Lytechinus pictus: one gene and its partners. The protein of the gene in region 1 purifies or fractionates together with the protein of each later gene. This does not show direct contact. Links are inferred from orthologs where the notes say so. Each region holds a gene or a part of one and is shown on either strand. Other genes may lie near its edges. The genes, in order: ribonuclease P protein subunit p20-like, inhibitor of Bruton tyrosine kinase-like and ribonuclease P protein subunit p30-like.

Region 1 (6,995 bases):
CACCATCAAATCCCGAATCTGTTTATTCCCCCTTATAATTTTGATGTCAATTCAAATTACTGTATAACAGTGGGGGGGGGTGGGTTCATTTGAAAAGGGATATTGAATTACATGTACCTTATTTTTTGTTTTATATGTAAATAAAGAAGACCAGAAATGGTTTAAAGATATAAAAAAATCCCGAATTTGATGGGCCTCATCCACAGAGGAGCTTATTTTATCCACCTGTATATGGTCAGATCCTGCATTAACATGTAAAGACCCCGTTAATTACTGGTTGAAATGTCCTATTTCTCATGTTGCTCACTAATTATGTTGTTTTTTATTATTAATCGTGAGTGCTTGGGGGGAATCTTTACTAACTCTCTCTTGCCATGTCCCTTTTCTCTTTTTTCTACTATCTTGATTTAACTGGTTATGCTCACCCACAAAGAAAAGACGATTTCTCAAGTCTTGTTAAGTAAAACAAAATGGAAAAAAATACGATATAAAGACACCACAACAACTATGGAAAGCCAGCAACGTCAAAATCTGAAATGCATGGGTTTTTTCCAAAATATTTTCTAGATATGAATTCATATATTTATCATTTTCTTGAAATTCAGTGAGCTTCTCTTCTTTACAGTTTATATACCTATTATATATAATTCCTGCAGGAAAAAATATGACATTGATGGATCTCCATACAGTTGATATTAAAAATTTTAATCGGATCAATCGCAATTCTTTGTAAGACGGGCCCAGTTGTCCTATTTTAATCCTCACGCACTGGGGAGGACTGGGGAGGGGGTGTCACATAATATTTGTGTACAACTTTCGGCCAAAAGTGGGGCCTACCCACGGCTACCCACTTGATACGGTAAATTTGAACTATTGTCTTATCAAAGGATATGTGATGACAGTTCTCTTCATAATTGATTTAGGCCCACACATTTAAAGGCGCGGCTAAGAATATTTTTGTGTTACATCACCTTACTCTATAACCCAATTCGCCTACGAAAAATACCCATGATGAATCCTTTCTTGTTTTTTGAATTGGCAGAGACCTTGCTGCACAAATTGTATTCAAGTTGCTGAAATTAAGTGATGCTACTCAAACTAACTTACAATATAAACATAACACGAAAAATTAAATTGCTGCTAAGTAAAATGACATAAGGATTTCAGACAAACGTCTTGGTCAGATTCAGAATGTTCCTAAAATTACTTTTCCATTCTGTTTTTTTTAATGAGATTTTGAAATAAATGGAAATATCTGCCTTAGTAATAGTATATTACACAAGAAAAGGGTTTTTAAAAGTGAGTATGAAAAACAAGTTCACATCCCGGGGACAGTGCTTGATTTACAGTGTAGTGTGAAAAAAGAGAGATTGTCTAGATCTAGACTTTGCAGTATTATAGCTACCGTACCTGTAAATTAAATATGGCAGCGCCCACTGGTGAAATTCACGTGAAGCTTGAATTCAGGTAATATCACTAATTTTAAGGCAAAATATTTAAACAATGGTTGTGATTATGTTTTTTATTTTATTTCCGGTTTATTTGGAATCATATCGGCGTGTAAATCGAGTGGAAATGTGTATATATTTGCCTATTTGAAATTTGAACACGGTTTCCGTTCTATCGGCATCGCATCGCCATCGGACCGGTGCCCCGGTGGCGGTGCCCGGTGGCGGTACCGTACGGTACGTAGCCGTGGGGTTACGGCAGATCTCCGGTAGACTATATTCATGACTACCTCGAGCGAAGTTCGTGCAGGCTCCACTCCACTTCTCACTACCGCTAGGCGCTACACTACACTCCACCTACCCGAATTTCGGGTAGGCATGGTTGATGGTAGACCAAAAGCTTCGGTCTCTGTTATGTTGGTTGTTCAGCTGAACTCCGTTGGAACTCCGTTGGCTTCACTCACCAAATACAGAGACCGAAGTTCTAGCGCGATCTGTACAGGGGACTCAATGGCCATATGTTTATGTACTTAAGATCGGATAAAACGGGGAAGTGAATTTGCGCGACAGCCGAGGTAAGTCACTGTTTTTGTTCCTTTTAACTCGATTTTTCTCCGTTTCTTGGCAATTAATGCCAAGAGGGAATATCAATTTGCATTTTGGTCGCATTAATTTTCAAAATTTTTATTGATTAAAGACAAAAATTGAAGAGCCCCGACGGGGGGATTTTGCATTGCAAGTCCCCTAATGGTGGCTGCACGCTAGCGAGCTGTCTGTGTATGAGGAGAACTTAAAAAAAAAATGTTAAAAAACTCCTCAAAACAGACGGCTGCCAGCTGTCTAGGTTGATGGTAGGTGGAGTGTAGTGTAGCGGTAGTGGAGTGGAGTGGAGCCTGCACGAACTTCGCTCGAGGTATATTCATGACATTACTTTAGTTAGTATTTAGTATTAGTAATATATAGTAGTTGACTTCTGCAATTTCTGAACGGCCGATTTACCAGAGTCCAGACTCATTGACTCAACTTCTGGCTTCTGCAGTGATACCTGCCGATCTCCGAACAGCGGGAGAACTGAAACAAGGGAGGGAGAGAGGTCTGCGTTATGCGTCACGCCGCGCCTCTGCCCGGGCGAAGTGTCGTTTTTCATTTATTAATTTATATTATTAGAGTCCTCTAGAGTCTGCGGCGACCGCTGCCAATCTCGATCTGGATGCTTACGATGCAGGACCCACTAGCCAGGAGGTCTAGACCCAGAGAGTAAAAATCATTCGCTAACGTGTGCTTACTCTCCACAGAGCCAGGGATTGCGCCCCATCTATTTACGTGTACTGGGAAAAAAACTGAAATTTTCGCCCCCAAGATTTCTACTTTCCTTCTAAAAGATCTAGCCCTAATGGGATACAACTTTATTTCCGACATTTATACGATATTGATTTCATTTTTAAACAAAATTTCATTAAAAAAAATTATAAAAAGACAGGGAAAACTTGCCGCGATGTTTACGTCGCCATCTTGTTCTTTTTGTTCTTCGCCAAGCTACGAGACGCATATCAGGTGATATCTCTCTTATTTTTTAAGAAATTTTCAGTGTTAATTTTTCTTTTCTTATCTTTTATCATAACAAATGGACCTTAGGGTTGGTTTCCCTTTTATTTCAAAATCTACGTGTACATGTAGATCTAGACCTACATATATTGATTATTTTTTTGTATATTGATTATTTTTTTAATGATATCATCCTTACAGTGGTGGAGCAGAGTTATTATTTGACAAGATCAAGCATCATGATGCTGTTTTGAACTGCAGTCACAACAAATGTAAGTTCTGTTAGAATATAAGAATAAATTTTAGAATATTTGCTCCTACTACAACATATTTAAATCTAGCAATGGCAGATCATAGAGCTAATAGCTCTATGGGCAGATCTAGGGGGGGGGGGCACAGCTGGCCCGCCCCCCCACCCCTTTTGAGAGCCATAATCCAAATTTTTAATGTAAACATGCCGTTTTTACCCAAGTGTGTTCCCCCCCCCTTCTTTTTGTCACATTTTCATCAGGAAAGTGCCCTCCCCCCTATTGGAAAACCTTGGATCCGCTCCTGAACTTCATTTTGGTATAGTTTTTTTTTAAATTTATTTTGGGGGATTCATTGTCAATAAATGTCTTTTCTTATACTTGAAAATGGTTGAAGACAGAACATACTGATTTTTATTAAATTGGTATTATACATGTATGTTCCCTTTTGCTTAAGGAAAAAAAAATTATTCTTCATGTTGTCAAATTAGTGTGATTACTTTATTCATAATTGATTTAGGTTACTTATTTCAGGACACACTTTATTTTAAAGATAAAATGGAGAACTATTTTGTTCTAATTTTCTTATTTCTTTTCAAAGGGACAATCAAGACATTGCTGGTTTGGATCAAAGATAACCTTCTGAAAGAGAGACCAGAGTTATTCATCCAAGGAGACACGGTGTAAGCATTTCAATTTTTTTCTATCAACACAAAAAAAAGAAAAGGAGTATAAAACAGATGGACAGGTCTTTTCTTGAGTGTTGTAATATGTGAATTCAAAAAATGTTTACAGTGTATCTTACTTGTAGGTCAGGTGTGTGTTTCATAAAGCTGTTTGTAAGTTAAGAGCAACTTTAAGAACGACTGGTTAACATTTCTTATGCACTAAATAATCACAAAATGGTGAATATCACCACAAGAAAGGATCACCAGTCGTCACTCTTAACCTACTAACAGCTTTATGAAACGGCCCCCTGGTCTGTTTTCAAGTTTACCTTCATTTTAACTTTTGAGACATATTTTTCATTTGTTATGTATCATTTTTGCATAAAGTAAACATGGAAGTGTTCATTTTCTTCAGTCAAACAAGGTTTTTGTATAGTTGGCTATTGAATGTTATAAAGGTAAATATTTTTGTCTGCAGAGTAAATTTCATGCAGCATACTTTGCCGGTAGATGTGGGTTGGGGTATGAAAGCTAGCATTTCTTAACAGGGTTATGTTGATATTGTGTTTCATGTTTTGATTGACAACTGCCTATTCTAATAGTGAAATCTGTAATTTTGTATCATTTCTTTTGAACAGGAGACCTGGTATTCTGGTCCTTGTAAATGATGCTGATTGGGAATTAGTGGTAAGACATTGCTAGACATAGTTGATGATTATGAAATGAATTCTAGATTTACTTCTCACCTAATGATGTCATTCAAACATACATTTTATTCTTTATTATTGATCAGCTTTGAAAACAAGCATGATTTGGTATGTTAATTGGAAGCTGTGTGTGTTTTTCTTTTTAAATACATAATGCCTATAAATAGATGATTTATCACTCATACTTAAAAGGGAACTTACAGTCTTACTGCATTTGGGACAACACATTTTTTTGCAGACTTATTTTACCACCTTTTACTTTTTTGAAAATTGGAAACCTAAGAGTGTGCATTATTTTAGGAAAGTAGTGTTAATTTGTTTATGAAGTGTTATCCTTTCCAAATTTCATAGATTGCACAAACAAAGAAGACACAAAAGACACAATCTTCTTAAAATGAAGCAAAGTATGTGCCTTAGGAAAATCTATGTCAAACCTCTTAAGAGTGTTTGATGTTGATTATTTCTTGTGTACTGCAGTGGTAAGTGATACATTGCGATTTGTAAGTTTATTTTTATCAATAGATATAGTTCTGTTTTGATATTCACAGTACTGTACTGTGTTAACAGGGTCTGTTTTGCTCATGCCATCAACTTAGATTTGATATTTAGAACAGTAATGTATAGAGATATTGCATCATGTAGAAAAGAGAAAAATAAATATGTTATCTAAAATGTCCATAAATCTGATAACCATTTACATTTATCCTTTCTTCTAAGCTGTTATTTTTACCATCCCTTTTATCCAGGGTGAATTAGAGTACGAGATACAAAATAAGGACAAGATTATCTTCATATCAACCCTTCACGGTGGATGAGCTGCCTTTGACAGTTTCACTCGGGAAAATAAAATTGAAAGTTTAACTCAAAATAAGATGGCCTCGGGCGATGCACAGCCGGCTACCCCCCAAGCCCGCCCTCACAAGTCGGCCAAACCGAAGGTCAATCCAGCGGCGGTGAGTATCCGGAAGCGTCAGCCCCGCAGACTTCCGAAGCGCAAGAATGACATCTACGTGACTCGCAAGTCTAACTTTGCCAGCCAGATGGAAAAGTGTGAGAAACTCTTTGACGGGGGAGAGAAAGAGGTGTTCATTCATGGTCTTGGTGCAGCTATCAACAGAGCACTAAACATTGCTCTTCAGTTGGAGTCCCGAAGTCTTGGCACACTCCAGATATCCATCAGCACTTCCACTGTCAACCTGGTGGACGACATCGAACCACTCTGCGATGAAGGGGACTTTGATACGAGGGAGAGAAGCAACTCTGCTGTCCATATTAGAGTGTTTAGGACTGAAAGCAAGAAAATGGATGGGCCAAATAAGTGATGTGACTTATAACCATGGCCAAGGTCTTTTTTGAGAAAGGATGCAGACATTCCGTGGTGATGATAAAGTTGTATGATGAACTAATCTTTTCTCTCCTTTCTCTGGTTTTAGAATTTAAGTTTGTAGCAGTGTCAGTTGACTCACCTTTGGTTTTCACTGAAACGTACATCAGAGCATATTAGATGATGATTTGATCTCATGGGAATTAAAACAGTTAATGGAGGAATAAACCTTTTATTCTTCAAAAATATGAATGTTGGTTTATGGTTATTCCACATGAGAGAAACAATCACCTCATTTTGTGTTTGAAGGAAAACAATTAAACTGAAAGTACAGAATACTCAAACTCTTGGATGAAAAGAAGCATATAAGAAATAATGCCATTATAATTCATGCAATTTTGATTGCAATAGATATTTTGTTTTGTGAAAATTGCTTAAGTTTCTGGTAATTATGTTACCATGGTTAAATCTATGATAGATCACATATTTGCAAGAAAAACAAATTTGCATTCTCTTAAAGTATTGATTATGGAATTATGATTTATGGTAACAGAAAATATTTTTGAGACCTATTTACAATTAAACAAGAGTCATTATTAGGGGCAGTTAGTTTCCATTTGAACAAAAAACAGCCTATTCTATTTCTGAAAACCTGCAATTCCATTTCAACCTTGAAAGAAAATGTAGACGGCAAAAAACTTGAATTCAATTTTGTGAAGGTAAATTCAGTGAATTTTGCATGAAAATTAAATAACTAAAACTAGTTTTCCACTTTTATTTTAATACTGGCAGACAGAAAATCGATGTCTCTAAATTATGTAAATGGGATCAAGTAGTTTTTGCCACACCATGTTTGATATGTGTACATGATTTGTAAAGCTCTCATTAGCTCAAGAGTTCATGCAAAGATTATGACAAAGTTGCAATGAGTTAACCTGTTGACTTTTGTGATTCACATAATCTTTGTATAAGGATTTCAGGATCTTTTAGCACTTGCTTCTAACTTGCAATAGTAAAAGATAAAACAAAACACACAAAACGAAAGCAGTGTAGTT
Region 2 (8,504 bases), on another chromosome or scaffold:
GTATTCTGCGCATGCATAAGCTTGAAGCTGAACTCCATTTTTTGTAGGTTTTGTAGGACATAATTTCTACATTCAGTCAGTTGCAAATCAACTATATTGTTTTGTCTCTAGCGGTAAAGAAGAGCTGTAAGCTCTAACCTGTCCATGAGGAAGACAGAGTGATCCCGAGCCGCTGCTACCATCTTACAGCGGGCTCCAAGGGACTTGAGAAGCTGTGGTCTTAGGCAGGTTGCTTCATCGCCAAGACCAAGCCTGCCACCCTGGCCATGACCGCACACCAACACCCTACCTTGGTGCGTTAGAAAGAGGGTGTGGAACTTGCACATTACAACCTGGTGGGTTAGAAAGGAAAGATACGACAGAATCTTGAAGTTTGAGAGTCGAAGGGAAATGAAATGAACAAGGTAAATCCAACTGCATAGAAAAAAAGGGAAATAAACTAAAATTGAAGAACTGCAATCGTAATTGTTTTGTAGATTTTGACGTTCCTTTCCTGATGATGATTTTGTGAATAAGCAATACACAAATGAAATTAAGCGGGTAAAATAAAATAATAATGTATTCATTGCTTGAGCAGTTCAAGTTGATCTTGTTGTTACTTTATCATGACAACATATCCTTCACACTTTTATTCTTTATATTTTTTTATAGTTACGGTAGAACAATATAAAGAATCTAACAAGTGAGGATTTAAAAAAGCCCTTTACCTGTTTGATACTGTGATTGTCTGCAGCTAGAGAATCCACCAGCTCGGGTTGATCTCTGCTGCGCTGTCTGCCATGCCCGAGGTTAAAGTTCGAGTTGGTTCCCCATGAATAAGCCTGGGTAGGATCGACAGGGTCAAAGGTCACATAAGCTGGTTTGTCTTTCATTACCAACTCCAACGGGGTCAGCTCATCCTTGTCATATCGCTTCAATGATGCTCCATGCTAAGAATAGAGATTGTGGTGTAATAAACCATATGTTAGAAATGAGTTCAAAAAAATAAATACAAAAAATGACCAAGTACAGACTCATGTGATATAATCCATAATAAGTGTGGGGTACTCGTTCAAACAATGCTTTTTGAACCAGATGCTTGAGTATTATTTTCTATTACTCTATCAAGTTCAATGGTCTAGACAATATCAAGAACATTGTGTGATTACTGCAAGAATTAAAAGAAGAATCACATTCGCTGTATTTGTTTTTTATACTAATCTTGAGAGCACAAGGATTGCCATTTTTTTCAATTAAAGATGTATTTCAGAGACTTCATTAAAAAAAAATCACTGGCAAATCTTTAAAATGAAACCAGTTACAATAAGAATGTCTTCAAAGTATGCACTTATGTCCATAGAAATGTATGTCCTCAGGGTGTTTAAAAAAAAGTAAAGAGAGACTTAATGTCCATGTGTGTCCACAGAAACAATCAGATCATAAGAAAACATTTGCTCCTGGTACTCATCAACAAATTAAAAAATACCATACTGCTTTGGCACTTTACATTCAAATCAAACTTAGATTAAACTAACTCACCCGTATTAGACTGATAGCACATGAGATCTGTCCAAAGAACAGACTCCTATGCAGCGGGGTCCAGCCAGACTCCTTGTCCCTTACACGACAATCTGCTCCTTTGGCCAGAAGCCATTCCACAATCTCCAACTTTCCACAGGAGGCTGCAACATGAAGCAGATTCCTTCCGCTGAAGTCAGAGACAAAGAATGGATTGAGGCAGTGGGAGAGGATGAAGGTCTGGATCTGATGAGTGGTTCCACAGGTGATGACCGCAGTCATGTCCCGGCCATGCTCCTGGGAACGACATCGAGGAGTGCACTCCCATTCAAGGAGATGCTCCATTGGTGATTATGTTCTGGAAAACAGCAATGTCCTGAGTCTTGTTGGTGAAACTATGAGCAGGAAGATAGGTTGTTACCTTATATTAGATCCCTCACACTTCTCAAAAAGCTATACCTCTCTTGTCTAAATCAGTCAACAAAGATGTTTATCAATGGTTGCTGAATCACAAAGGAATGCTTTCAAAGATCCACCTGAACCAATGTTAATGATCAGACTGAATGGAAACTTGGTGTGTGAACTTTAATCCAATCTTGCAGATACTTAGACATGCTAGTTAACCCTCGGGCCTTGGATATTCTCAAGATTCTATGGTCAATGCTCAGGGCTTGAAACTATTCAGATACTCTGGTCAACCCACAAGGCTTGACGATACTCAGATTCTATGGTCAATCCTTAGGACTTGAAGCTACTCAAAAGACTTTCTGGTCAACCCTCAGTACATGGTGATTCTCAGATACTCTTGTCGACCCTCAAAGCTTGGAGATCTATACTCAGATACTCTGGCCAACCCTAAAGGCTTGACGATACTCCGATTCTTTGGTCAATCCTCAGAGCTTGAAGACTCTCGGATACTCTAGTCAACCCTCAGGGCTGCTACTCACAGCCCCACAGCCACTAGGGCCATGGTGACTAGAGCTCAGTCAAGCACACATAATGGTCAATCAGTCGGCCTGCATGTAATAGGGGGAAAAAAGTACCACAAAAAACTAGAATTTCAAAGCGTTCTCAATGCCAATGCCTACAGTGTCAGATTAATTATTTCCCAAGTCAAGAAATACAAAATATGAGCATCCATGATTCTTTTTAAAAATGTATTGAACTGTGTTTTAATGCTTATTTTGAGTATATAAAAATATAAACCTTTGTATTTTTCACAAGATGTACATAGTGTAATAACACCAACAGAAATTTCCGGAAATTTATCCTTCAGACCCAAAGAAATGTTTCTTTCAAAAGAAATTACATATATAATCATTTTATTGGTAGATTTACAATGAAATAAAAATGACTACTTCCTTATTCGGAGCGACAGCATTGTCTGTCACTGTTGACATGCTCGCTGAAACTTAGTCAGGCTCCACTGGCAAAAATTAAAATCAGGTCTTAGGATGCCAGTCATGCCAGTATAGAAACAAAAACACAAAAGCTTCAAAAGCAAAAACTCCTATATGAGTAAAAAAAAAATGATTGATTTAAATTAAAAGTTAAATCTCAAGAATAAGATTTTGCAAATATCAATGGTCTTTTCCATTTTTAAAATTAAAAAAGCATGATGAACTTGATTCTCATCACATCCCTCTTTGCACATGCAATATTTTTAAACTTAAATTGGAAATGGTAACATCATCACCTAAAGTGTGTCTTCTTTGCCTGTGGCAGGGAAAGAGAAAAGAAAATCACCACTTTTGAAATCAAACTCCTCAAATACAATTGCTCAAACTTCCCCAAATTTAATGCAAAATGAAAATTAATGCAAATGATTGCAAATTAAAAATCAAAACAAAAGGACATTCATTATGGCATTGTCATTGAGACCAGTTCACATACCATCCCAAAATATCAAATAAGGCCATTAATTATCGATGACATATGCGTGGGAACTTCGCTAACTCAACTGCTCAAATTGCGCAATTATGTTGCAATTTGAAACTGATGCGTACCAACCCAAGGTCGCTATTCCCCACTAAATGTACAGCTTATAAGTGCAGACTGTGCACAGCGATAACATAGGATAAGAAGATCCGAGATAACTTACCGCCGTTTAAAAAATAAAAGGGAAAAAAAGGTTATGTTTAAGTTTTTGAAAATGCAAATATAAAAGAAAAACTGAAAATACCTTCTTTATTTTACGATCACGATGGCAAAGAAGTGGAAAAGCTCTGGATTTGCAAAAACAAGTTGAAAACAAGGATCCATTTTCGTCCGGCAAGTCAGATAAATTGAAGAAAAGATGACACGTAACTTTTCGCCAGCCAGATATATAGATAAGTTAAGAGGTCAAAGGTTACCAGCTGATCTGGGGATGGGATGGGCGCTGCCCATTGTTTCCAGAGTCACAGAATGATCCAAAACCCCTCCAAAACAAATCTTCCGAACCTGAATCCCAAATTTCCCGAAATTCATAGACATTTCCTGGAATTTTCAAGTTTGATTTTGAACAAATCTCGGACAATGATACAGCAGCAACTTTACACTTAGTCCAAGGGACCAAAATCAAGGAATTTAACCTTTTTTTTTTTCTTCACGTGCATGCGCCCTTTTTAAAAATAGGAACAAAATTATGAAATGCGAGCGCGGAGGGCGAGCATAAAATTTTGAGCTATCTATGAGACAAACAAGTCTTTAAATATAGCATGAATATTGAAATTTATTACGTTTAATTGTTGCTTGATTGTAATTTTTGGATTTCCCGAAATTACCTGGAATTTTTCCATCAGTACCCGGACCTGAAAATGCATGATCTGGAAGTTCTCGGAATTCGGGTAATTTCCTTCAAAGTGTGAACTGTTACAGAAAGTGCAAGTCTCTCAAGAAGCAAAATTAAACTTTGTAATGTAAAAATGCCATTAAAACAGAGGTGTGCCCCCTCTTTTGAAATTGAAGACCTTTTTTTTTTGCTTGTCAATTTTTTTCGGGTACAAAATATCCTTAATTTGTGGTTGAAAACATTTTTTTTTGCTTGTCAAAATTTTCCTCCGAAAAAATTGCCCCCCCCCCCTTTTGGGAAATCCTGGATCTGCCCCTGTCTCAAGCCGCATGTTTATTTGGTTGAAAATCAAGTTACGATTGATATTTTTAAAGTTTTGTTTGAATGATTGCAATTAATCCTCTCAGCAATTTCTCATGACATAATAACCCAGGCAAATCCATTTTAGGACCTCGTGTAAAGTTGAAATTTAAATTTAAATTCATTTATTTGTCATCTCCTAAAAACAGAATACATAGTGAATTACTTCAATAAAATAAAACAACAATGGCAGTTGTACAATAATTGACAAGAAACATATAAAGTAATGAATGGGTTGTGAGGGAGTAACAAAAAGCCATTTGTTGGCCTATTAAAAAGTGTCAATGTTAATAAATTCGAGTAGCCCAGCCCTCGGTCGATCCCCTGAACTGTATAATTTATTTATGTAGAGAGATACGTATCCCCTGGGGCACATATCCAATCATGAGATCTTTTTAAAGTGTCTGGTTTGTAAGAATAAGTTATCTGTACTTGAACAGTTTTTACAACTACCCCAAACGCCCCCCCCCCCCTCGGATTCGAGCGAAAATATGGAAGAAAATGTTTTTGTCGGGCGCGAAGATAGCTGTTTATTATATACAGACTTTACAATGATATACAGACCTGAAAATGAGACATATTTTAAAGGACCATTTGCATAACTTGGATTACCAAACGATTTGAGCCCGACGCGTGAGCTGAATCTCTTTTTACAGATAATATATTCAGACATGAAAAGGGCCGGACAGTTTTAACACTTTATATGATGCATATATCACAAAATAAAAATAATGGAAACTTCAAGTGCCGTAGGCCTATTATTTTGGTTATTTTGGTTTCAGACATGAAAGGGACAGTTTTAACACTTTATATATCGATCGATGCATATATCACAAAATAAAAATAATGGAAACTTCAAGTGCCGTAGGCCTATTATTTTGGTTATAAGGGCCTAATTACTTGAAAACGGGATATCTTAAGCGCCATACAACGCCGGTTGAAGAGATGATGTATCTCATTGCTATCGAGAACCTATTTTCCAATTCTATCAGTTCCCTTATTTTACTCACTCCTCATTTGATTTTTCTCCTCTTATTTTACTGCCTAATATTTTTCTCTCCTCTCCTTCTTTATTCTCTTTATCCTCTCCCCCTCCCACTTTCCCCCTTTCAATGCTGTCGAAAGGGGCCGGGGTCGCAGCCGCTTCAGCCCCCCTGGATCCGCCTATGGTATTTTTTCCCCACTAACGACGAGGCCTGTATGTGTGCGTGAAACGGAAAGGTCAATAAATATTATATCACACAAATGTGATATGAGTATTTCGATTTTCATTTGGACTACTAAGTTTGGAGAAAGTTATGCGTGCAAAGGGGGAAAGCGAAAGATACATAAATCAGTGGCGTTAGTGAGCTCCCCCCCCCCCCCCCAAAAAAAAAAGAGGGGGTCAGATGTGGCGAATGGAGCAAAATTTCACACTTACATGGCTATATGATTTTCACCTTTAATAAACCCTTTTAACAAAATTAGAAAATTTATAATATATGGGGTAGCTGCTCGCATAATATGACGTCACAAATAAAAACTTCACAATTGTCATAATAATGGATTTCTATATAGCTGCCAAACCTTCACCGATATTTTTATTTTTATTTTATTATTATTTATTTTTTTATAGATTTTTCTTTCAGCCTGGGGAGCATTTCATCAACATTTTTGTCTGACAAGTTGTCAGATCTGACATCATTCCTTGATTCTGATTGGCTGAGAAGCACTGTTACTATGGTAACTGTCGGATAAACCAGGACGTGTCGGATGAAACGTCCGACAAGTTCTTTCGTGAAAAGCTCCCCTGATGTTGCCATCATAAAACGACGAAGAGTGGCCCATAAATGCCACAAAATAAATAATACCAACTTATTGCTTATAGAGATAACACCTTTTGAAATGTAAAATGACCGACTTCTCTCAATGACATGGAATTTCCCCCAAAATATATGAATTGAATCATTTTGTTCAGGGGCTAAAAAAAAAGCTTCGAAGTCCTCCGTTTTTTGAGAACTATAAAGCCGTTGAAAGAGACTCACGTTCAAATCCAATTTCTGCGCACTAAAGCGTAAATCCTAAAAACAATCATGTAAGTGATTTGATTAAATGCAAATTCATAGTTGCTTTAAAAATAATGCAACCTTTTTGCAATGCCTATTTTGCTCAATTTTGTTCGGACTTTCTTTGTAATTGAACGCATGAAAATTTTGAAAACGAAAAAAAAGGGTCTTCACTCCCAAATCTAAATCATTTTGTTCCATGAACAATAAGACAAGAAAAAAAAAAGAAGATCCTCGCGCCAATGCAAGACATATTCCACTAGAAATTATTTCTTGTTCCTTTCAAGGGGGGCAGTGGCCAGATGTTCCCCCCTCTGGATTCGCCACTGTCCCACCCCTATACCCTCTCTTTTAAGATCCTCTCATAAATCCCCTCTTCGTGATTTCTTCTCTCTTTTGACTCCTTCAATCTCATTATCTCTTGACTCTTCCTATCCATCTCTCTCCCCTCCCTTCTTCATTCTTTCTCTCCCATCGATCTTATTCTCCCCTCACTCTTCAAATCAGCGGCACAATGAGCCAACAACCAACATTGAGGGGGCTAGACATGACAGAGGGAGAAAAAGTTCTTGAAAAGGTGCGAGAAAGAGAAGTAAGAGGGCAATCAGGGGCGGCGATCCGGGGGGGGGGGGAGCACAGTGCCCCACACTTTTTGAAGCACTGAAAAAGTGCCCCTTTTTAGCAAGAAAACTTTAGAAAAGTGCCCCCTCACGAACGTGTACAGTGCCTCTTTCATCGGAAGAGGACCCGTTTTAGGTGTTTCCAAGTGCCATTTTTTTTCGTATATAAGTGCCAATTTTTACCCCAAAATGCTTTCCCCCCTCATGAACGTGTACTGTGCCCTTTTCACCTGAAAAAGACCCGTTTTTATGTGTTAGCAAGTGCCATATCTCGTATCAGTGCCAAATTTTACCAAAAAAATCACCCCTTACGTTTGTGTTCTGTGCCCCTTTCACCTGAGGACCCGTTTCATGTCTGAGCAAGTGCCATTTTGCCATCTTATAGGTGGCCTTTCTCGTATCAGTGCCCCTTTTTACCTAAGAAAAGTGCCCCCACGAACGTGTTCTGTGCCCCTTTGACCTGTTTTGTGTGTTAACGAGTGCCCATTTGCCTTGTAATAGGTGCCTGTTCTTCATATCAAGTTGTACTGAAAAAAACACTATTTTCGTGCCCGATGAGCGCCCGGTTTCTCTATTTAGCGCCGTTCTGCTTCCTTCTGCAAGTGCATAATGGATGAAAAAAACTTATAAAAATAATCCCACGTGAGTGGGGTAGAGAAGTCCCTTTTCATTGTTTTAAGATCATGGCCGTACGCAGCAGGGGGGGGGATTGCCCCTAGCTCCCCCCCCCCAAACTTTTTTTTTGAAAACTCACATTTTTTTACTGCAGATTTTCACAAAATTCGCCAAAAATATGCACAAAATCCAACTTAACAAAATGCAAACGCGCCTCAATGATAAGCTCGGTCGCTTCACTCCCTCACTTTCCTAACAAGATTACGCTTGCTACCCCCCCCCCCCAGCTAAAATTTTCTGCATATGGCCATGTTTAAGATAGTGCCCTTTTTGAAAATTTTCTGTGTGTCTCCCTTTCAACTTTGCTCTGCCGCCCCCTGAGGGCAATAATAATAATTTAATGGTTTGGATAGGATTTTACATTCAGAAAATATATTTCATATTCCAGGAGCGGCGGAAAGTATTTTCGTTTGGTGCGGATGGGGGGGGGGGGGGGGGGGCAAAGACTAAAAGGGAACTTATTATATGTCGAAATGGACATTTGAGTGCAGATATTTTCATCATCAGATTACATTTGTGCCTTCAGTACTAAGT
Region 3 (8,736 bases), on another chromosome or scaffold:
TCATCTACTAGTATTGGATCTGCATGTGTAAAGCGGAGTTGGTGCAACCAAACAAACCAATTCTTGAATGTTTTTCTCAGGACCATATTTAATTTGTCAGAACAGAAAAAAAACACCAAAAGAATGAATAAATAAATGAAAAGTCTAGATTGGTTTTATCTAATTGAATATTTTTAATTCATTTTTAAATTGCTGTGCGATATCCCAATTAGAGCAAGTTCTCTTAGTTATAGCATGAAGGAAAACAGTATGCATGTACTACCAAAAACAGAATGTTGCCAGCAACCACCTACAGTTGGTGGAGGCCTAAAAACATACTGTACCTGGGACTCGCCTCCTTCAACCTCAGCATTAGTGAAAGGCCTCACTCTTAGATAAACCTTCATCGGTTCCCTATTGTGAGCGACGCTAACCCTGGCAATCTTCATGGGCGTGGCCGACGTGAATTCTGTAAAGAGGTCCTTTTTTATGCTCTCCTGGAAGGCTAGCAGATCTTCCTCCTCTTCAACAACGTCCTCCTCAGTGTCTGAGAAGTTACTGGAGGCTGGGAAATCACTCATGTTGCCGATACTGTCCTTCCCCGTTTCACTATTTTTTAATTGAAAATTAAAAAAGGATACACCTGTATGTCAAATTGCATTTATGTTTGTTCAACTGAATTCAACTATAAAATATAAAGCAATGATATAAATTTAGGCCTTGAAGCCTTAGATCTATTCTGATTTCTGAAAGAATAAATTGTGACAAAAACGAAGCACAAAATCAAAATACGACATTTTCAACATAATTTGACCTGCACATCACTCTCCTTCTTTGCTGTAAGTACAGGTCTGGTATACTTCCATACTCATGTGCAGGTATCTGTAGTTTATGTACAGTGTCTCAATAAAAGGTTCTACAATACTATGTGCAGCTGCATGTACATGTAAAAACAAGACATCTGTGAAAATTAAATAATTTGGATTTTGAGTACATGTACCTCTCTTTCTTTTTTTAAAAAACATAGAAGAGAGGTACAGGAGACAGCGGCCTGTGGTAAAGCATTCCACAGCCTGGCCAGCGGTCGCATCAGGGAAGAAGCTTTTTGTATTGTCTATATCACTCACTTTATGATAGATAACAAAAAGTATTCAAGGGTAAGTCCACACTCACAGAAATTTAAGAGGGAGGGCAAAAAAATACATCATCAAAATTGAATGTCAAATGAAAGAAAGTAAGTTGGTCAAACTTGGGTTTCATGGACACAATTGATAAGAGTCTTGTTGGCATTATCACCCACTTTTAATTCAAAATTGTTTTTAACAAAATATCACCCTAGTTTCATCATTATTTAGTTGTGAGGTTTTCCATCTACATTGGTGATAAAAAAATAAGAACATTTTTTCTGGTTCACTACATTTTACAGGTGCAAAACTGAACAAGTGCCAAATCTCTAACTGTTAACCCTAAAATGGCCGGGGGGGGGGGGGGTTGAATCAACCCCCCCCCTCAACATTTTCTGCGATCATTCCGCCGCGCGAAATTTTTTGACCGCGCCACTAGCAGAGTTTATACTTTTAAGTCTCGCGCATCTTTTGAGACCAAATTTATGACACCCGGGAATTCGGTTCCGAAATTACGCAACATTTTGTAAGTGCATGTCAGACCAAAAATTGTTCAAAAACGTGATTTTGTGTACAAAGTCAATGCAAATTGAGTTTTCTCATCTTATTCATAAAGATATGATTATTTTTACTTTAAACAGCTGAAAGCAATTGATTTTAGCATAATTATGCTTCAAAAAGGTTGTGCAATAAATCTGGTGAAAAAAACAAAGAAAAACAAAAGGTCAAAAAACAAAGAAATACATAAGAAATTCATAAAACAATAAAATACATAAGAAATTGATTTCCAAACCGAAGTTTTTTTCAATTGCCATTGTTAAGAATACTACAAAGAATATTTTTACCAAAAATTAGCATTCTAGGAGCTTTATTTAGTGAATTAGAGCAAAAAGTATGATTTATGCATAAATTAGCATAATTAATTCATATAAAATAAAATCTCATTATTTTGGAAAATTTTACCATACAGCCTTGTAGATTACATCGCACACTACCAGCATGCAAATTTTTGCGGCGCTCGCGCGATCGGTGGCCGAGATCTCAGGGGGGGGGTTGAATCAACCCCCCCCCCCCCCCCCCCCGGCCACAGAACAGCCAAAAAAGCCCGGCCTAGTTAGGGTTAAAGAAGGTTTACCTTTAGAAAGTAAAGGAAAGTTTGTTGTAAAATATCAGAAAACAAATGAGAAAAAATACTGGTAAAGTTTTGATGAAAATCAATAAAAAATTAATGGGACGCAATCCCTGGCTCCGTGGACAGTAAGCATACGTTAGTAAATCATTTTTACACTCTAGGAGCCTCCTAGCTATGGTTAGTCGTGCCTTGATTTTCCCGTGCACAGCGGCATGTAATGAACCCTTGAGTGCCACTAAGCTAATCCTTTTGCAGCAAATGTAAACAAAGGAAATTGGTCTCCCAACTGGAGACTGTCTCGGAAATTGGATACCCAAATTCTTTACAAGTCTGATATTGGAGATAATCTCTCTCATGGGAGACAGTTTCCCATCCCATATGGCATAATTATTGGCCATGCACCTCTACTGCTAACCAAACTGGATTTTAATTTAGTTTTCGGTATTTTTGTAGCGGGACAGCTTTGCAAGACGGCCGGTGGCCGCCCACTGTCTTGCGCTGCCCACGTTCAAAGAAAGACGGAGCCGAGAAATGACAAATTCGAACAAAGAGATAAAGTAAAGTTGTGTATGTGTTTATTCAAAATCCATGTCAAATCAACAAGCTGATATAGTATAATAACGTCCCATCTATGGGCTGGGCGACCGCAATTTGAGTACAATTAAGCCGACATGGCTAACGGCAGCAAAACAAATCGTTAACGAAAAGAACTACCCCGCCCGACCTAGCACACGCCCATTTTATACTTCTTGGCTCAAACACCACGTGGAGAGAAAACCCTTCCCCAAATCGGTCTTATCCCTTTTGGTGCAATGCGCCAAATTAATCTGCCTGTAATATCAATGTATAAAATGTAACTAATTAATGATTCCAAATTCAAGTTCTTCGGCTTTCCATTATTCTTCCCTCTTACGTAACTCTCTCTTCACCACTCCCCCAACTGCTCTCTCGATCAACTTGTCCCCCTCTGCGACTCTCACACTTCAACCACTCCCACTACTACAGCTCTCTCATCCAATCTCTATACTTAATTCTCTCGTTCTACGACTCGTATCTTACAACTCAGTTATCTCTCTCACCTGTTCATTCTCTCTCTCACCCTCTTTCTAGCCGCTAAAGAATGCAAGCGAGCCATAGAACACGAAATGAGCAGAATAGAAAAAAATTCATTGAGCCCCGAAAAATACTAATTCTAAATCCCAGGCAGGCCAGACAGCCTAACAATTAACCAAGCCAGTGTGCATTCTTTTTTACCTTTCTACATAAAACGTGCCAGCTTGACCCAGAATTAAAGCTGACAACAGAAATTTACACATTTTATGGAATGTAAACAGTGCAAGAAAGAACTTGAACTGAACTGAAGCCAGGCAAACAAACTTTTTAGTAAATTTTACCAAAAGGCAAAACTCAGTCTGTTATTGTTAAAACATTATTAAAAAACAAACAAATCTCTATTTTCCACCCCGCTGCAGCTATATTTTCACCATTTCTTTTGTATTTTCTATGCGCTATCAATAGTCTAGACCAAAAGCTTCAGTCTCTGTATTTTGGTTGTTCCGCTGAACTACGTTGGCTCCACTCACCATACATAGACTGAAGGGGACGGGGCCCCGTACCTACAGCCAACGTATAGTGAACTAGCGTTTTATAGATCGCGATTTAAAACTGTTTTTTAAGCAAAATTGAAAGTTTCATGGTTTCCATTATCAGGGAAATATAAATAACTTAAGTAATTGCATACCTTGGGCCGGAGTTATTGAAAAAAATCCTCTGGATGATTGAGAAATCTGTCATCTAAGACATTTTCACCTGACCTGACGGTTTTTCTTGCAAGTTGCCATCTTGAATGACGTCATTATCGTTATTAATGTCTCGAATCGATATATCGCGATTATAACTAGTACTAGTACTAGTATAACTAGTATCGTTTATCTTCGGTTTCGTTCGCATATGGAGCAGATCGTATAATATCGAAAGCAATATCGATATCACATTCGTGATTGTTGACGTTCGTTTGTAAATATTTTATAGTTTGGCTGCCATTTTGACCATTTTTATCGTGTTCAACCCAATTAAACATTGGTAAAGTATATTTTTCATGCCTTTTTCATCTATATCGTTTAAAGTATTTAAACATTGAAATATCAAGTTTTAAAAGTTTGTTGTTTATACATCCTTAGATTGTAAATTCGATGTGTAAAATTACATCAAACTTTGGACTGTGAATTGACAAAAGGGAGGGAATGAGAACACATGCGAGCCCACACGTACACCCTACCGTCGGTAAAACTAAAATCTAAATGGGGATTACAGTAAAATGTCAGAAATTGTTGAATAAATCCCCAGAAACGACGGTTATTCCTGTCTATCAATAGTCACACTTTTGAAATGTAATCATACACAAATTCATCACATTAAGAAAAAAAACCTCGCACAAAAGCATTGCATGAAGAGTGGCCATTTATGATACAATCGTAAGTAAATTATTATGCACACAACTGAATTGGTGATATCATGGTTCCTTGATACGCGTATTCATATAGCACATGAACGACAACACCATCGGCATCGCATTAAGTTTAACAGCATCCCAGGCGAAAATGAATCTGCCACAAACATAAAAACGGTACAACTACAACCAGAAACTACACTTCACTCACCTCACACTATTTGACTTAATTACAAGGCCTTACTTTAATGTTAAAAGATAGATAGTTGAACAAGCTTACCATATAAGATGATATTTAATTTACTAAATGACTTGGACTTACCTGAGGCTGTACTGATGATGTACTTGGTCTTGGCGATTCTTCGAATTTGACCGGTTCGAGCGCTCGCGAAGTACCTTATCCAATCAAAACACGGGGTTGTCATTAATTGCGGCGAGGAGTAACGGGCAAAGTGATTGGTCGATCGCCATCCACGCAATGTAACGTAAACAAACATTATTTACCCACGTGTGCATGTATGGAAGTCGAATTCAATCGAAAACATGACGCAATTTTTTGACCTAAATTTGATAGATAATCGGTTTGACGAGAAGAGAAAACAAAGAGCAATCGCTAGAGCAGCAAGATGTAAGTATTGTGCATAATTTTCTCCTTAAGGCTTAGTCGCGCGCAGGTTATTCTTCCATCAACGCCGGACGCGGACACAACTCAGTCTCAGAGTCAGAGTCAGACTCGGCACGGGGAACTTCCCGCCGAAAGCAGCGGCGGATCTCGTTCGGCTCGCGCTCGTGCACCTGGGCCGGCCTCCATGATGATGTTTTTTAATATTTTGACATATATTCTTCATCATGGAGCCTTGACGCTCTTTCCATAGACGCAGAAGCGAGACCTTGACACCCGGATGGATAGTTACAGGGTGAAATCGGTTTGTAGTATTGTATTTGTAAGTAATTTGTACGAATTAATTTTATTGATATTTGAAGTTTAGTTTAGCTTAATTCCTTACCTTGACTTGAGTTACCTTGAGTTACCTTGATGGCCACATCTCACTGTCTTCATGACGAGGGTGTACAGATGAGTGTGGCAGGGTTAAGGAGCCTTAAATCAATGACAATGCCTAATTAGTAATGCGTATGAAGGTTAAAAAAATTGGTTAATAAAAAAGTGAAAATTTTAAGGTTTCTTACCTGGCCTAGCCTGGAGGCTTCTCGGGAGTAAAATTATTTCTACTTGAATTACTTATGATATCCCTGACTAGAAAGTAATGAAAAGTCTGAATGCAAAGACTATCACAAAGAACTGCATACATAGTCATAATTAATAGCCACGATTGTGTAACAGTGACGTAATTGCAAACACACAAGTAAAGTTATGAAACTTATATTTCAAGCCTAGAAGTAACTGAGTTATTCAGTCGCGTGAACTATGAAGTGGCATGTCTGAGGAATGACTGATATGATAATGATTTGGACTGATTCGAAATTTAGTCTTTAGAATTAGATGTTAAATTGGCGACCCTGCCAAGATTTTGAATCGCCACGGAACCTGATGGATGTGTGCCCAGCCATCGCATTGCCCAATGGTGAGTAGCTGTGTCTTCCTGCCGCAACTTCCCTGTTCGTTTTGACCCCACTTCGCTGTAATAGTAAAACTTTTACGGAGATTTCTTTTGTGACTATATGGTGAGAGAGTACAATAATGGCTACTGGGCAGAATCAAAACATAACAGTGGTTAGTGAAACAAGAAACCTGAAAACTGGTCCATTTACCCACCCGGATAACCAACTTTCGATTGGGAAAGCTTGGGAAGAATGGTTAGAAGACTTAGAAAGAAAATTATTCAGGTATTTCCGGATAGTGAACCCTGTTGACAAAGCTGATGCACTAATCATCTATGGGGGAAAGGATATTGCCAGGTTAGCAAGATCACTCCCAGACCCAATAGAAACGGATGTTAACAATCCAATGAATGAATACCAAAAGCTAAGGAGGAAACTTGATGAGTATTACAAGCCTAAGAAAAACCAGCATCATGCTCGTTACCTGTTCTCGAAAACAAGAATGCAAGAATGGGAAATCACTGCTGCCTATGTTGCTCGTGTTCGGGAAAAAGCTGTAGAGTGTGAATTTGGAAGTTCACTGGAGGAGAGGATCCTAGAGCATTTGATTCAAACCCTTAAGAGCACATCTCTAATTCAGAAGGCAATCAGTAAAGGGTGGAACCTGAACGAATTATTGAGTGAAGCCACGCAGAAAGAAGATGTTTCGCTTCAAGTGGCAGACATGAGTACGCAGGATGTACGTAAAGTTGGAAAGATGTACCCAAAGTCAAACAAGCAGAACCAGAGAGCCTGTTCATTTTGTGGCATGATTGACAAACATCCCCCAGGGAAAGATTGTCCAGCTTATGGGAGGCAGTGTAATAAATGTCGCAAATACAACCACTTCGCCTCAGTGGGTAAATCAAGTTCCAACTCCAAGGTAAAATCAGATGACAAAAAGAAGGCAACAAGTTCTTTCAAGGATGGTAAAGAAAAGAAAGGAAAACACATAAGCTTTGTCAAGAAAACTGCCAAGAAACAGGAAGGAGATACAAGTTCTGATGACGAGTTTATGCAACACTTGAGTACTAAGCAAGCCAAAACAGTTCGAATTTGGAAGATAGGAATCCAGGACAAGCATGTCAGCATAAAAATTGCTAATCTAGATGCCAAGGTTGAAGTAGATAGTGGTTCCGAGGTCAACCTTATGGATGAGCACCAGTTTAAAGCATTATCTAACAGATCCGATAGAGAGTTGAAGTTACATCCCACAGAGGTTAAACTCAGTGCATTGACAACTGAACTTGATGTCAAAGGAAAATTCACAACAACTGTGGAGAATGAAACCTTAGGTATAGAAAAAGAATTTTATGTGATAAGAGGGAAGATAGACAGTGTACCACTACTAGGAAGAGTATCCGCAACCAAACTAGGAATGTTGGAGATAAGACCCAATGGTACTCTGCAAGCCAAGAAAGTTAGCAAGCCACCAGATTCTATGGATGAGATAATCAAGAAGAATGCTCAGGCATTCAAGGGCATTGGAAAGATACATGACAAAAGAAGCAACAAGGATATTTATGCACATTTCCATATGAAAGAAGGAGCAGTGCCAGTTGCTCAAAAGCCACGCCCTGTTCCATACTATCTCCAGAAACTGCTGAAGGAATGGTTAGATCACTGTGTTGCTGAAGACATATTTGAGCCACTACCAGAAGATGAGCCGGTTACATGGTGTTCACCATTGGTGATACAACCAAAGCCAAGGTATAAGGACAAACCAAAAGAGAGTCTTACACAGAACATGATAAGAACAAGCATTGATCTAAGAATACCAAACAAAGAGATGGAAAGGAGCAGGATAAACCAAAATCCTGTGGTAGAGGACTTCATCCACAAGTTTCATGAGTGTAAAGTCTTTTCCAAGTTAGACGAAGAATGGATACCACCAGTTGATGCTCGCACCATAGTCCAGACACATAGCAACTTTCAGCACCCCATGGGGAAACATGAGGCCTAAAAGACTGATCTTTGGAGCAAAATCATCACAAGACCTGTTTGATGAAACAATCACTCGCATCTTTGGAGATATCCCATAATGCCTAAATCAAAGAGATGACATCTTGATAGGAGGTAAAACTCTTGAGGAGCACGATGCAACTCTAGAACAAGTCCTGAAGAGAGCTACAGATTTCAACATCACTTTCAATTCTGACAAGTGTGAGTTTGGAGTAGACCAGCTAGAATTCTATTGCTACCTCTTCACCAAAGATGGACTAAAGCCAACTGAAGAAAAGGTCAGAGCAGTCAAGGAAAGCTCACAACCAAGGTCCAAGGCAGAAGTGAGAAGTGTTCTTGGTGTGATCGGGTATTTATCCAAATTTATACCCAGATATTCTACTCTTACTGCACTGCTGAGTGAACTGACCAAGAAAGATACTAAGTTCGTTTGGGGAGACGAAGAGGAAAATGCGTTCCAGAAACTGAAGCAAAGTATCACAAGTGAAGAT

Evidence for each region.
Region 2: the proteins of ribonuclease P protein subunit p20-like (region 1) and inhibitor of Bruton tyrosine kinase-like purify together in Homo sapiens (affinity purification with mass spectrometry; 3 studies listed by BioGRID and IntAct, with this or other methods). This does not show direct contact. The link is inferred for Lytechinus pictus from reciprocal best matches to the Homo sapiens genes POP7 and IBTK.
Region 3: the proteins of ribonuclease P protein subunit p20-like (region 1) and ribonuclease P protein subunit p30-like purify together in Homo sapiens (co-immunoprecipitation; 4 studies listed by BioGRID and IntAct, counting the BioPlex papers as one, with this or other methods). This does not show direct contact. The link is inferred for Lytechinus pictus from reciprocal best matches to the Homo sapiens genes POP7 and RPP30.

The regions. Positions count from the first base shown.
Region 1 is NC_087259.1:13,426,771-13,433,765, forward strand, and holds ribonuclease P protein subunit p20-like, read left to right. Parts: upstream 1-5,488; coding exon 5,489-5,938; downstream 5,939-6,995. Other genes in the region: ubiquitin-related modifier 1-like, read left to right, coding at 1,424-1,467, 3,195-3,265, 3,843-3,924, 4,548-4,596, 5,363-5,431. UniProt on the Homo sapiens protein: Component of ribonuclease P, a ribonucleoprotein complex that generates mature tRNA molecules by cleaving their 5'-ends. Also a component of the MRP ribonuclease complex, which cleaves pre-rRNA sequences.
Region 2 is NC_087248.1:19,339,016-19,347,519, reverse strand, and holds the start of inhibitor of Bruton tyrosine kinase-like, read right to left. Parts: upstream 3,833-8,504; 5' UTR 3,680-3,832; intron 2,514-3,679; 5' UTR 1,843-2,513; coding exon 1,519-1,842; intron 930-1,518; coding exon 708-929; intron 333-707; coding exon 139-332; intron 1-138. UniProt on the Homo sapiens protein: Acts as an inhibitor of BTK tyrosine kinase activity, thereby playing a role in B-cell development. Down-regulates BTK kinase activity, leading to interference with BTK-mediated calcium mobilization and NF-kappa-B-driven transcription.
Region 3 is NC_087256.1:15,071,398-15,080,133, reverse strand, and holds the start of ribonuclease P protein subunit p30-like, read left to right. Parts: upstream 1-5,153; 5' UTR 5,154-5,227; coding exon 5,228-5,312; exon of another isoform or gene 5,313-5,397; intron 5,398-8,736. Other genes in the region: kinesin-like protein KIF20B, read right to left, coding at 324-560. UniProt on the Homo sapiens protein: Component of ribonuclease P, a ribonucleoprotein complex that generates mature tRNA molecules by cleaving their 5'-ends. Also a component of the MRP ribonuclease complex, which cleaves pre-rRNA sequences.